2 linked regions of the Oryctolagus cuniculus genome follow. Each later gene encodes a partner of the first gene's protein in a complex. Links are inferred from orthologs where the notes say so. Each region holds a gene or a part of one and is shown on either strand. Other genes may lie near its edges.

Region 1 (5,735 bases):
CTCAAACTCTCCAGTGAAGCAAAGACGAGTAACAGCACATTCTGGCCGGCACATGACACAGTGGGAGTTCTCGGACACTGCTGGGAGGATCAGGCTGGCTCAACTGCTTTGGAGGCTGCTTGGCAGTCTGACAGCTCCCCAGCAGGTCCGCCGCGGCAGGTACCAGGTAGGGCCGCAGTAGGTACCGGGTAGGGCCGCGGCATCCGTCAGGAACAGCAGGTTAAGCAGCTGCCCGCAATGGCGGCATCCCCCAGGAGTGCCGGCTCAAGTGCTGTGCCGGCTGCCCCGTGTCTGATCCAGCTCCCTGCTGATGTGCCCAGGAAAGCAGCCGAGGACGGCCCACGAGCCTGGGCCCCTGCCAGCAGCAGACTCGGATGAAGGTCCTGGCTCCTGGCTTGTTTGGCCTGGCGTAGCCCCAGCCGCTGGGCCACCTGAGGATTGAGTCAGTGGACAGAGGCTCCCCTGCTCCCTGTAACTGCCTTTCAAATAAATAATAAATGTTTTAAAAAATTAAAAGGGCCGGCGCTGTGGCTCACTTGGTTAATCCTCCGCCTGCAGCGCCGGCATCCCATATGGGCGCTGGGTTCTAGTCCCGGTTGCCCCTCTTCCAGGCCAGCTCTCTGCTGTGGCCCGGGAGTGCAGTGGAGGATGGCCCAAGTGCTTGGGCCCTGCACCCCATGGGAGACCAGGAGAAGTACCTGGATCCTGGCTTTGGGTCAGCGTGGTGCGCCAGCCACAGCAGCCATTAGGGGATAAACCAACGGAAAAAAAAAAAAAAAAGGAAGACCTTTCTGTCTCACTGTGCACTCTGCCTTTCAAAACAAAAACAAAAAAACAAAACAAAAAAAACACATATCCACAAAGACTTGGATCAAGTCAAAAATAAACACCCACCAACAGCAGAGCCCACCTGTGGGACAGCCGCACAGCGCGACGGTGCGCAGTGAGGAGCTGATGCCCCGTGCGGCAGGGGTGAGTGATAACAGCCGAGACGAGCCACTCAAGTCCAGGGAGGCAGAACCGCCACGCGGGGCCTGCCACGTGAAAAGCTCAGGCGGACGCCCCACGTGCCTCTGCTGTGGCCTCCGGGAGCCAGGCTCCCGCCCCTCATCACCTAGCATCTGCCGGAGCCCAGACTGCCAGGGGTGACCTTAAACAGGAGCCCGGGCAGGACGCAGCCGCAGCTGGGGGGTTAATAAAGTCCAATTAATCAAGCCCAGGAAGGGGGGGGGGGGACACATCCAAGCCGCCCTCATAACCTGAGCTCAGACTGGCCCCCTAAGAGCCCTTGCCCGTAGGAGGGGACCCGCAGGAGTCTCCCAGTGAAGAGGGGCCATCAAATCCTTAGTGGGCACGGGCGCGTGGCTCAGCAGTTAGGCTGCTGCCCGGGACACCTGCAGCTCCTATCAGAGCGCGGGTTCGAGCCCCGGCTACACGCCCTGATCCCGCTGACGTGAGGCGGCAGCAGCTCGTGAAGCCGCGGGGTCCCTGCCCCAGGGCTGGAGAGCTGGACTGGGTTCCGGGCTTCTGCTCTGGCCTGAGCCAGCCCCGTCCGCTGCAGCCACCCGGGGTATGGACCACAGAAGGAAAATCACCGCCTTTCAAATGAAACGAAACACAGTTCCCAACCCACGCGGGGTCCCCGAGTTCTACAGGCCTGCTCGCACCCCTCCAACAACAAATAAAATCTTCTTTTGTAATGAGCCACTCACATCCGCTAGAGGCGCAGAACTGCCAGGGCTCCAGACGCAACCTGTGACTGATGCATTTTATTTAAAGATTTGAAAGCTAGAAGAGGGGGAGAGACAGAGATTGTCCATCTGCTGGTTCACCCCCCAGATGGCCACAATGGCCAGGGCTGGGCCAGGCCACAGCCAGGAGCTTCCTCTGGGTCTCCCGCATGGGTGGCAGGGGCCCCAACACTTGGGCCATCTCTGCCGCTCCTCTCAGGCCATCGGCAGGGAGGTGAATCTGAAGCGGAGCAGCCGGGACTCACACGAGCATTCCGGGGCGGCCGGCCAGCAGGCAGCTGCTCCACTCGCTACACAATGCCAGCACCGATGCATTTTCTGTTACCAGCAGCTATCCTGAGGCACCATTAACGCGACGCACGGGGCCGGAGCTGTGGCACAGCGAGTTAAGCCAAGTGCCGCGCCAGCATCCCATGTCCCAAAGCTGGTCCGAGTCTCGCCCGCTCTGCTTCTGATCCAGCTCCCCGCTAATGCGCCTGGGAAGGCGGGAGAAGACGGTCCAAGTACTTGGGTCCCTGCCACCCATGTGAGACCCGGATGTACTTCTTGGCTTCAGGTTCGGCCTGGCCCAGCCTGACTGTTGCAGCCATTTGGGGAGTGAGCCAGCAGACAGAAGATGTGTCATTGTGCCTTTCAAACAAGTAAGTCATGGGGCCGGCGCCGCGGCTCACTAGGCTAACCCTCCGCCTGCGGCGCTGGCACACCGGGTTCTAGTCCCGGTCGGGGCGCCGGATTCGGTCCCGGTTGCCCCTCTTCCAGGCCAGCTCTCTGCTGTGGCCAGGGAGGGCAGTGGAGGATGCCCAAGTGCTTGGGCCCTGCACCCCATGGGAGACCAGGATAAGTACCTGGCTCCTGCCATCAGATCAGCGCGGTGCACTGGCCGCGGCAGCCATTGGAGGGTGAACCAACGGAAGGGAGACCTTTCTCTCTCTCTCTCTCTGGCTCTAACTCTACCTGTCAAAAAAAGTCTCAAGCGGGAAAAAGTGGACAAAACAATGTTTTTAGTATCTGAGCGCCGTGCACTCGTCACCTCCATTTTAGAACACTCCCATCGCGCCACGAACAAAGCCCGAAGTCCTCTGGGCGAGCGCTAGCCCGCTGTGTCCCCACAGAGCCGGGGGTCCCGCTCTCACACGGGGTCGCGCAAAGCTCCCAGGGCCTCGGGGCCTCCCAGCGGGGCCTCCCTCCCCGCCCACGCCGGGCCCCGCCAGCGGCCTCGTCTCGGAGACCAACAAGTGCACCTGCGGGGCCCCGCGGGCTGTGGGCGTCGGACACGCCGGCGGCGAGGGGCTCACCCGCCCGCACGAGCCCCCGGCGCGGGGCGCCGCTTACCCGCGTCCATCCAGGCGGGGGCCAGCAGGCGGCACTTCTGTCTCTGCTTCAGGTTCAGCGCCAGCCACAGCGGCACGTCCACGGGCAGGCCGGGGTGGAACGGCCCCAGGTCCCCCTGCCGAGGCGACGCGCCGTCAGGGCGGAGAGCCGCCCCCTCCCACGGTCAGGCCCTCCTCTCCCGCCCGGGACCCGCGAAGCAGCCCGAGCCGCTCGCTCCCCGGCCCCCGGACGCCCCCACCCCGAGCTCGGGCGGCCGGCCCCGCCCCGCGCCCCGCCGCGGACAGCCCGGCGGGCCCGAGGGCCCCTACCCCGATGAGGTAGATCTTGTCCAGGCTGAAGTTCGGGATGATGGTCACCAGCTCCTTCTCGGCCAGAAACTCCACCTCGGCCGCGTCCATGGTCTCGCGAGCGGCCGGCCCAGGCCCCCCGGGGTCCTCCTGCCCCTCAGCGTCCGGCAGCAGACACGGCCGCCCTCGCCGCTTTCCCGCCACGGCTCAGGGCCCGCCCCCGGCGGAAGACAGCCGCGGCGGCCAATCGGAGCGCGGCGCTCTCCGCAGCGAGGCGGGACCGTGCTTGCTGCGAGCCTGCGGATTGGCGAGCCCGGCGACGCCGCGCCGGCCCCGCCCCCGCACGCCGGCCCCGCCCCGCCCCGCCCCGCCCCGGGGCTCGCGGCGCTCCTCGCCCTTCCCCGGGCGGCGCACTTGGCGCACTTGGCGCACTTGGCGCACTTGGCGCACCTGGCGTGGAGCGCTGCGGAGCGGGGTTGGGCCGCGTCTACACAGACGTTCCTCACGGGCCCCCAAGTAGACACGCGTACTGGGCCGAGCCCCGGGGCGCGGCGTGCCCCAGCCCAGCAGACGGCGGCTTAACTGGTCCTCACTGGTTCCAAGTCTGTAAAAATACAGATTCCTCAGCCCATGAGAGGGCTCAGCCTTTGGGCGCTGGCGAGGACCCCCGGTGAGACCCCTGAATGGGGCGAGTTTGCACCCCCGGGCAAGTAAGGCTGTTGCCAGAAGCCCGCGGAAGTGACGTGAAAAACCCAGTTTTTTGGGGTGCCGTGTTGAAAGCCACGCCTCACTTAGTGGTCGGGCCCATGTTCCGCGAACTCTGCGAAGGACCCTTGTCCAGCGTCTTTTCCACCAAAATACACAGCACTGCGCGTGCCACGACCCCTCTGAGCTCCCTTCGTGGGACAAGGTGCCCCTATACCGGGCGTGGGGCAATGGGCAGTGTTTGCAAGTCCACCTGTGTCCGAATCGCTGGACCATTCTCAGCTCCTGGGGAACCCAGGCTCGGGCATGCGCACTGAGGACGGAAAGCTGCACTGTGGCCAGGGCCAGAGCGAGGCCGACGCGGCCAGTTCCTGCGAGGTGAAGCAGCAGGCACGGGCGTGGACCCCAGCCGCCCAGGCTGACCCCAGGCCCCGAGCAGCATTCCAGGGCTGTGCGTCTGGGTTACCTGCTCCACCCCAGCGAGGCCAGGGCTCTCCTCTCTGACCCCAGAAACCTGCCCTTGCAGGAAAACTGGAACAAGGCCATCGGTAGGCTCCGGCCGCGCCCACGGCCTGGACAACCCCTGCTCGCCAGGTGAATTGGCAGAGCTGGGGTTTCACCCGGAGTTACGTGGCCTGGGTCGTGCATGGACAGACGCCCCACGGATGGTGTGGCGACGGCCGGTGAGCGGCTCAGCCTCGGTGGCTCCTCCGTGTCCAGGTGCTGTGGGGGCAGGGGAAGCCTCAGCCCCTGCCCGTGTTGTCTGAGTTCTCATTGGCGGGGGAGTGTTGTCGGTTCCCAAGCCGGGGGGCTCCACTTCCTGGTCCGTGCACCCATAAGAGAAATCCTCCTCTGGGGGTGTGCGTGCACCTTACAGGGTCTCCTCGCCCCGCCCACCCAGGAGGCCGGGAAGCGCCTCGCCCCGCAGCACCGGGCACGGAGTCCGCACAAGGCACACAGGTGGTGCAGCATCAGGGAGTGAGGAGGCCCTCGAGGCAGGCGGACGGAAGCCGGGGCCCAGCGTCGGGCCAGTGTCTGAGGGCGGACAGCTCCCAGGAGCCACAGCTGGACTCTGGGCCCAGCAGTGTTGGGTGATGACCCGAGCCCATGACGCCCATGACTGAACACGTGAAGGAATGGGGCGGAGACGGATGCCCAACAGGGTTCTAGGTGGTGCATGGGGAGGGGAGGGCTCTCCCAGACGAGGGTTATATTCATTCCATTTCCATGAGCCGTGAAGAACCAGGGATTTCCTTCCCGAAGAGGTGGGCCGGCGCTGGCGCTATGGTGTAGCAGGCTAAGCCTCCGCCTGCGATGCTGGCACCCATTTGGGCGCCGGTTTGAGTCCTGGCTGCTCTTCTTCTGATCCAGCTCTCTGCTGTGGCCTGGGAAAGCAGTGGAGGATGGCCCAAGTGCTGGGGCCCCTGCACCCACATGGGAGACATGGAAGAAGCTCCTGGCTTCGGATCAGCCCACCTCTAGCTGTTAGGGCCATTTGGGGACTGAACCAGTAGATGAAGACCTGTCTCTCTCTCTCTCTCCATCTATAACTCTGCCTCTCAAATAAGTAAATAAAATCTTTTAAAAAAAATTTAGAGGCCGGCGCTGTGGCGTGTTGGGTAAAGCCACTGCCTGCAATGCCGGCATCCCGTATGGGCGC
Region 2 (2,981 bases), on another chromosome or scaffold:
CATTTTTATTAGGGACATTTCAAAAGCCTGGCTCCTGTGGGTGCTGAGAATTAGAGGGAGTGGTTTCCCCTGGGTTACTGCACTGACCCAGTGCCTCACCCCTGCCTGTTGACAGTGGTGCTATTGGCACTCACTTGGGAAAGGCCAGAAAGCGGGGATTTACCTGTGCCTGGTAACACCACTGCATGCCACTCCTGGTCTTTTCCTCAGCCCCCTTGAAGGGGCTTTACAGAAGCTGGGGATCGAGCTATCTGAGCTGTTGTGATGGATACACCTCAAGAAATAGGAAAGGGAACCGCTGTCTTGCCTATGGTTCTCACTGGTGCTGAGGTTAAATAGGAACTTGCTCCTCACTGCCTCCCCAGCATCTCGTGGTGGCTGGTGGGTAGCGAAGGTACTTTCTCAGAAAGCTCAGAGATGGGGTAGGGCCAGCATAAAGGGGAAGGAGAGAGGACTCTTAAAGCCCCATAACACCTGTTTAACAGAAGTCAGGACCAAGGTACAAGGCAGCAATCTACACACTTTATTATATTAACAAAAGTAGCAAAACAAGCAAGTGCAGCACAGGAAGAGGGGCTCCTCCCACCCCTCCGGAGCTGGGTTACACCTGCAAAGGCAGCAGGTGAGCGGCGAGCACAGTGGGTCCCCAAGGTCTCAAGCAGGTTGGAATCAGACAAAAGTGATCCGTGTCCGGGAAGCATTGACCTGCCAGACATTCAACTCCTCATACTCGTCCAGAGCTGCTTGGAATTGGGCAGGTGTGAAGCCACGGGATATGCAGCGCTGCTCTGCCTCAGAAAACCGGACGCTCCGGGCCCCCGAGACCAACTCGCGGACAGTGGCAAATATCACATCTGCTGGCCTCTGTGTCCTGAAGGAAACACGAGGGTATGGAATCAGGGCACAAGCCAGGACACTTGACAGTGACAACGGAGAGTGGTCAGCTCATGCATCTGGATGCTGAAGCCTGCAACGGTCAAGGTGACCCAATCTCATCATTAAACCACTCACCTGGCTGTCTGCCCCTTGTCGCCCAGAAGTGAGTCCTTGGACATCTCCATGAGCCTTATGGCTTCATTCACATCTTCCTTCTCCACTGTGTCCACCATTCTCAGACGTGCCTAAGGGGAAAGTAGGGGAGAGAGGGGGACAGGAGGAGAATGGAATAAAGTCAGAGAAACCCCCTTGGTTCCAGCTTTAAGGCTGGACAACCTATGTGCCGTCTGCTCGCAAAAGGAGCAGGGACCCCTCCCCTGCTCCCCCACATCCGCAGTGTAGGGCCGGCACTGTCAGACCGAGACAAGTGCAATGCCCAGGGCAGCGTCCAGCAATTGCCCAAGTCTCCGCCTCTCAACACTGGCCAGTCCCGGTGTTCAGCTGTCCTGTGAGGGAGACCAGACCCTTCCGAACTCCAGTGGGCTCCCCACCACGACAGATGCAGCCTGGGGAGCTCAGCCTAGCAGGCGGTTGGCAGAGAGGCTGTGTCCCAGGGGCTCGGGAAGTGCTAGCTCAGCAGTAGGTCAGGTAATCACACTACCTGCACGAACAGCACTTTGGAGCCCCCGGGACTACGGTCCGAGATGTGAGGACAGAAAGGAAGCTTATAGCACAGGATCAAGGAGGTGGGGAGAGAGAGGGACCCTCCCCCGCTTCAGTGAGGCTGCAGAAGTGGGGAGAGAAGGCCTCTCCTTCCGTGGACGTGCGTGCCCTGCTGGAGCAGCAAGTACCCACAGTGCGGTAGCACGGACAGGACCACTATCTGCACTGTCAGCACTTTAGCCCCAGCAGGGCGGGTGTGGGAGGAGGCGGCAGCGAGAGGACCAAGTGAGGGTTCATTGCCAGTAGGGATGGAAACGGACACCCTCCAGCAGTACGGGGAACCAGGCACTCACCAGAGCAGTGGAAAGTCGGAGAATGGCCAGCAGTGTCCGGGCGGAAGTGTATGTGGCATCCTTACTGGCCCAGGCCTCTCGCCTCATCTCCACGTATGCTGCTGTGATGTAGTCTGCCAGGGACTCTGGCACTGTGGGCTGCTTCTCACGGCACATGGCTATGTAGCGTCTGTGGGAGAAAAGGTTCATGGGAAAGCAGAACATGAAGAGGGGGAATGGGGTACACACATGGGCATGGTGTTTTCTGCCTAATGGTTCCTCCATTTAATGAGAAAACTCTCAGAAGTAAGGACTTTTAAGCAGAAAAACGAGTGGGTGACTCTGTGTTTGACTCCAGTATCGCTGAGGGATTTCCACATCATGTTTCAGATGATTTTCAACTTTTCAGGAAAGTGACCTCTGTGAAATTAAGACAAATCCAACTGTCACAAAAGATCACCCACCCTCTTGTAAACATGATGTGGCTAAAGGGACTAGAAACATACTATTTCAGTAGATAGAGCGCACAGCAAGACCCTGAGCACACACCGGGAACACTGGGGCCATGGAGAAGAGCTGGAGGGCGATCCAGCGCAGCCTGAACGCTGTGCCCACCCCCGCAGGCAGGACCATGGTGGGGGTGGCGAGAAAGGCAGATTCTAAAGACATGCGGTCCTTGGCTAGCCAGGTTCGGGGAACCCAGACTGGGTGTTCTTACGCCTGGCACGTGGCAGAAGCGGGTAGCAGGGAGAGGGTGGGCAGAGTATTAAAAAGCCAACCCACCCGCTCTGTGAAAGCCTTTCAGGAGCCACACAGCCACGACGCTGTCACAGGCTGCACACTTGCCTGAAGTACACCTGTCCCCCCCCCAGCAGCCTCTTACCTCATAAGCTTCATGTCCAAAGGTTCGAATTGGGCGGGGGGCTGCCGGCTGTGCTGGTGCACATAGGTGATGTGCTGGGCCAACCTGGGAAGAGTTAAGAAGGCAGGCTCTTTAGAGCGCCACACCCCACGTCCTGCTTTAAATATTCCTCTTGGCTCTGTGGCTGCCTCACAGATGGAAGAACAAACTCTCCAGGAAGCCCTCAGCAGCACTTGGGCAGGGGCCCT

The links. Proteins that work in one complex are often made in the same cells at the same time.
Region 2: GINS2 (region 1) and MCM7 share a complex: the UniProt entries of both Homo sapiens proteins name them as parts of the CMG helicase complex. The link is inferred for Oryctolagus cuniculus from reciprocal best matches to the Homo sapiens genes GINS2 and MCM7.

Annotation. Positions count from the first base shown.
Region 1 is NC_091449.1:66,848,851-66,854,585, forward strand, and holds the start of GINS2 (DNA replication complex GINS protein PSF2), read right to left. Parts: upstream 3,602-5,735; 5' UTR 3,482-3,601; coding exon 3,392-3,481; intron 3,199-3,391; coding exon 3,084-3,198; intron 1-3,083. UniProt on the Homo sapiens protein: Required for correct functioning of the GINS complex, a complex that plays an essential role in the initiation of DNA replication, and progression of DNA replication forks.
Region 2 is NC_091450.1:42,362,448-42,365,428, forward strand, and holds the end of MCM7 (DNA replication licensing factor MCM7), read right to left. Parts: intron 2,839-2,981; coding exon 2,755-2,838; intron 2,062-2,754; coding exon 1,893-2,061; intron 1,779-1,892; exon of another isoform or gene 1,718-1,778; intron 1,557-1,717; exon of another isoform or gene 1,495-1,556; intron 1,350-1,494; exon of another isoform or gene 1,290-1,349; intron 1,122-1,289; coding exon 1,012-1,121; intron 872-1,011; coding exon 670-871; 3' UTR 501-669; downstream 1-500. UniProt on the Homo sapiens protein: Acts as a component of the MCM2-7 complex (MCM complex) which is the replicative helicase essential for 'once per cell cycle' DNA replication initiation and elongation in eukaryotic cells.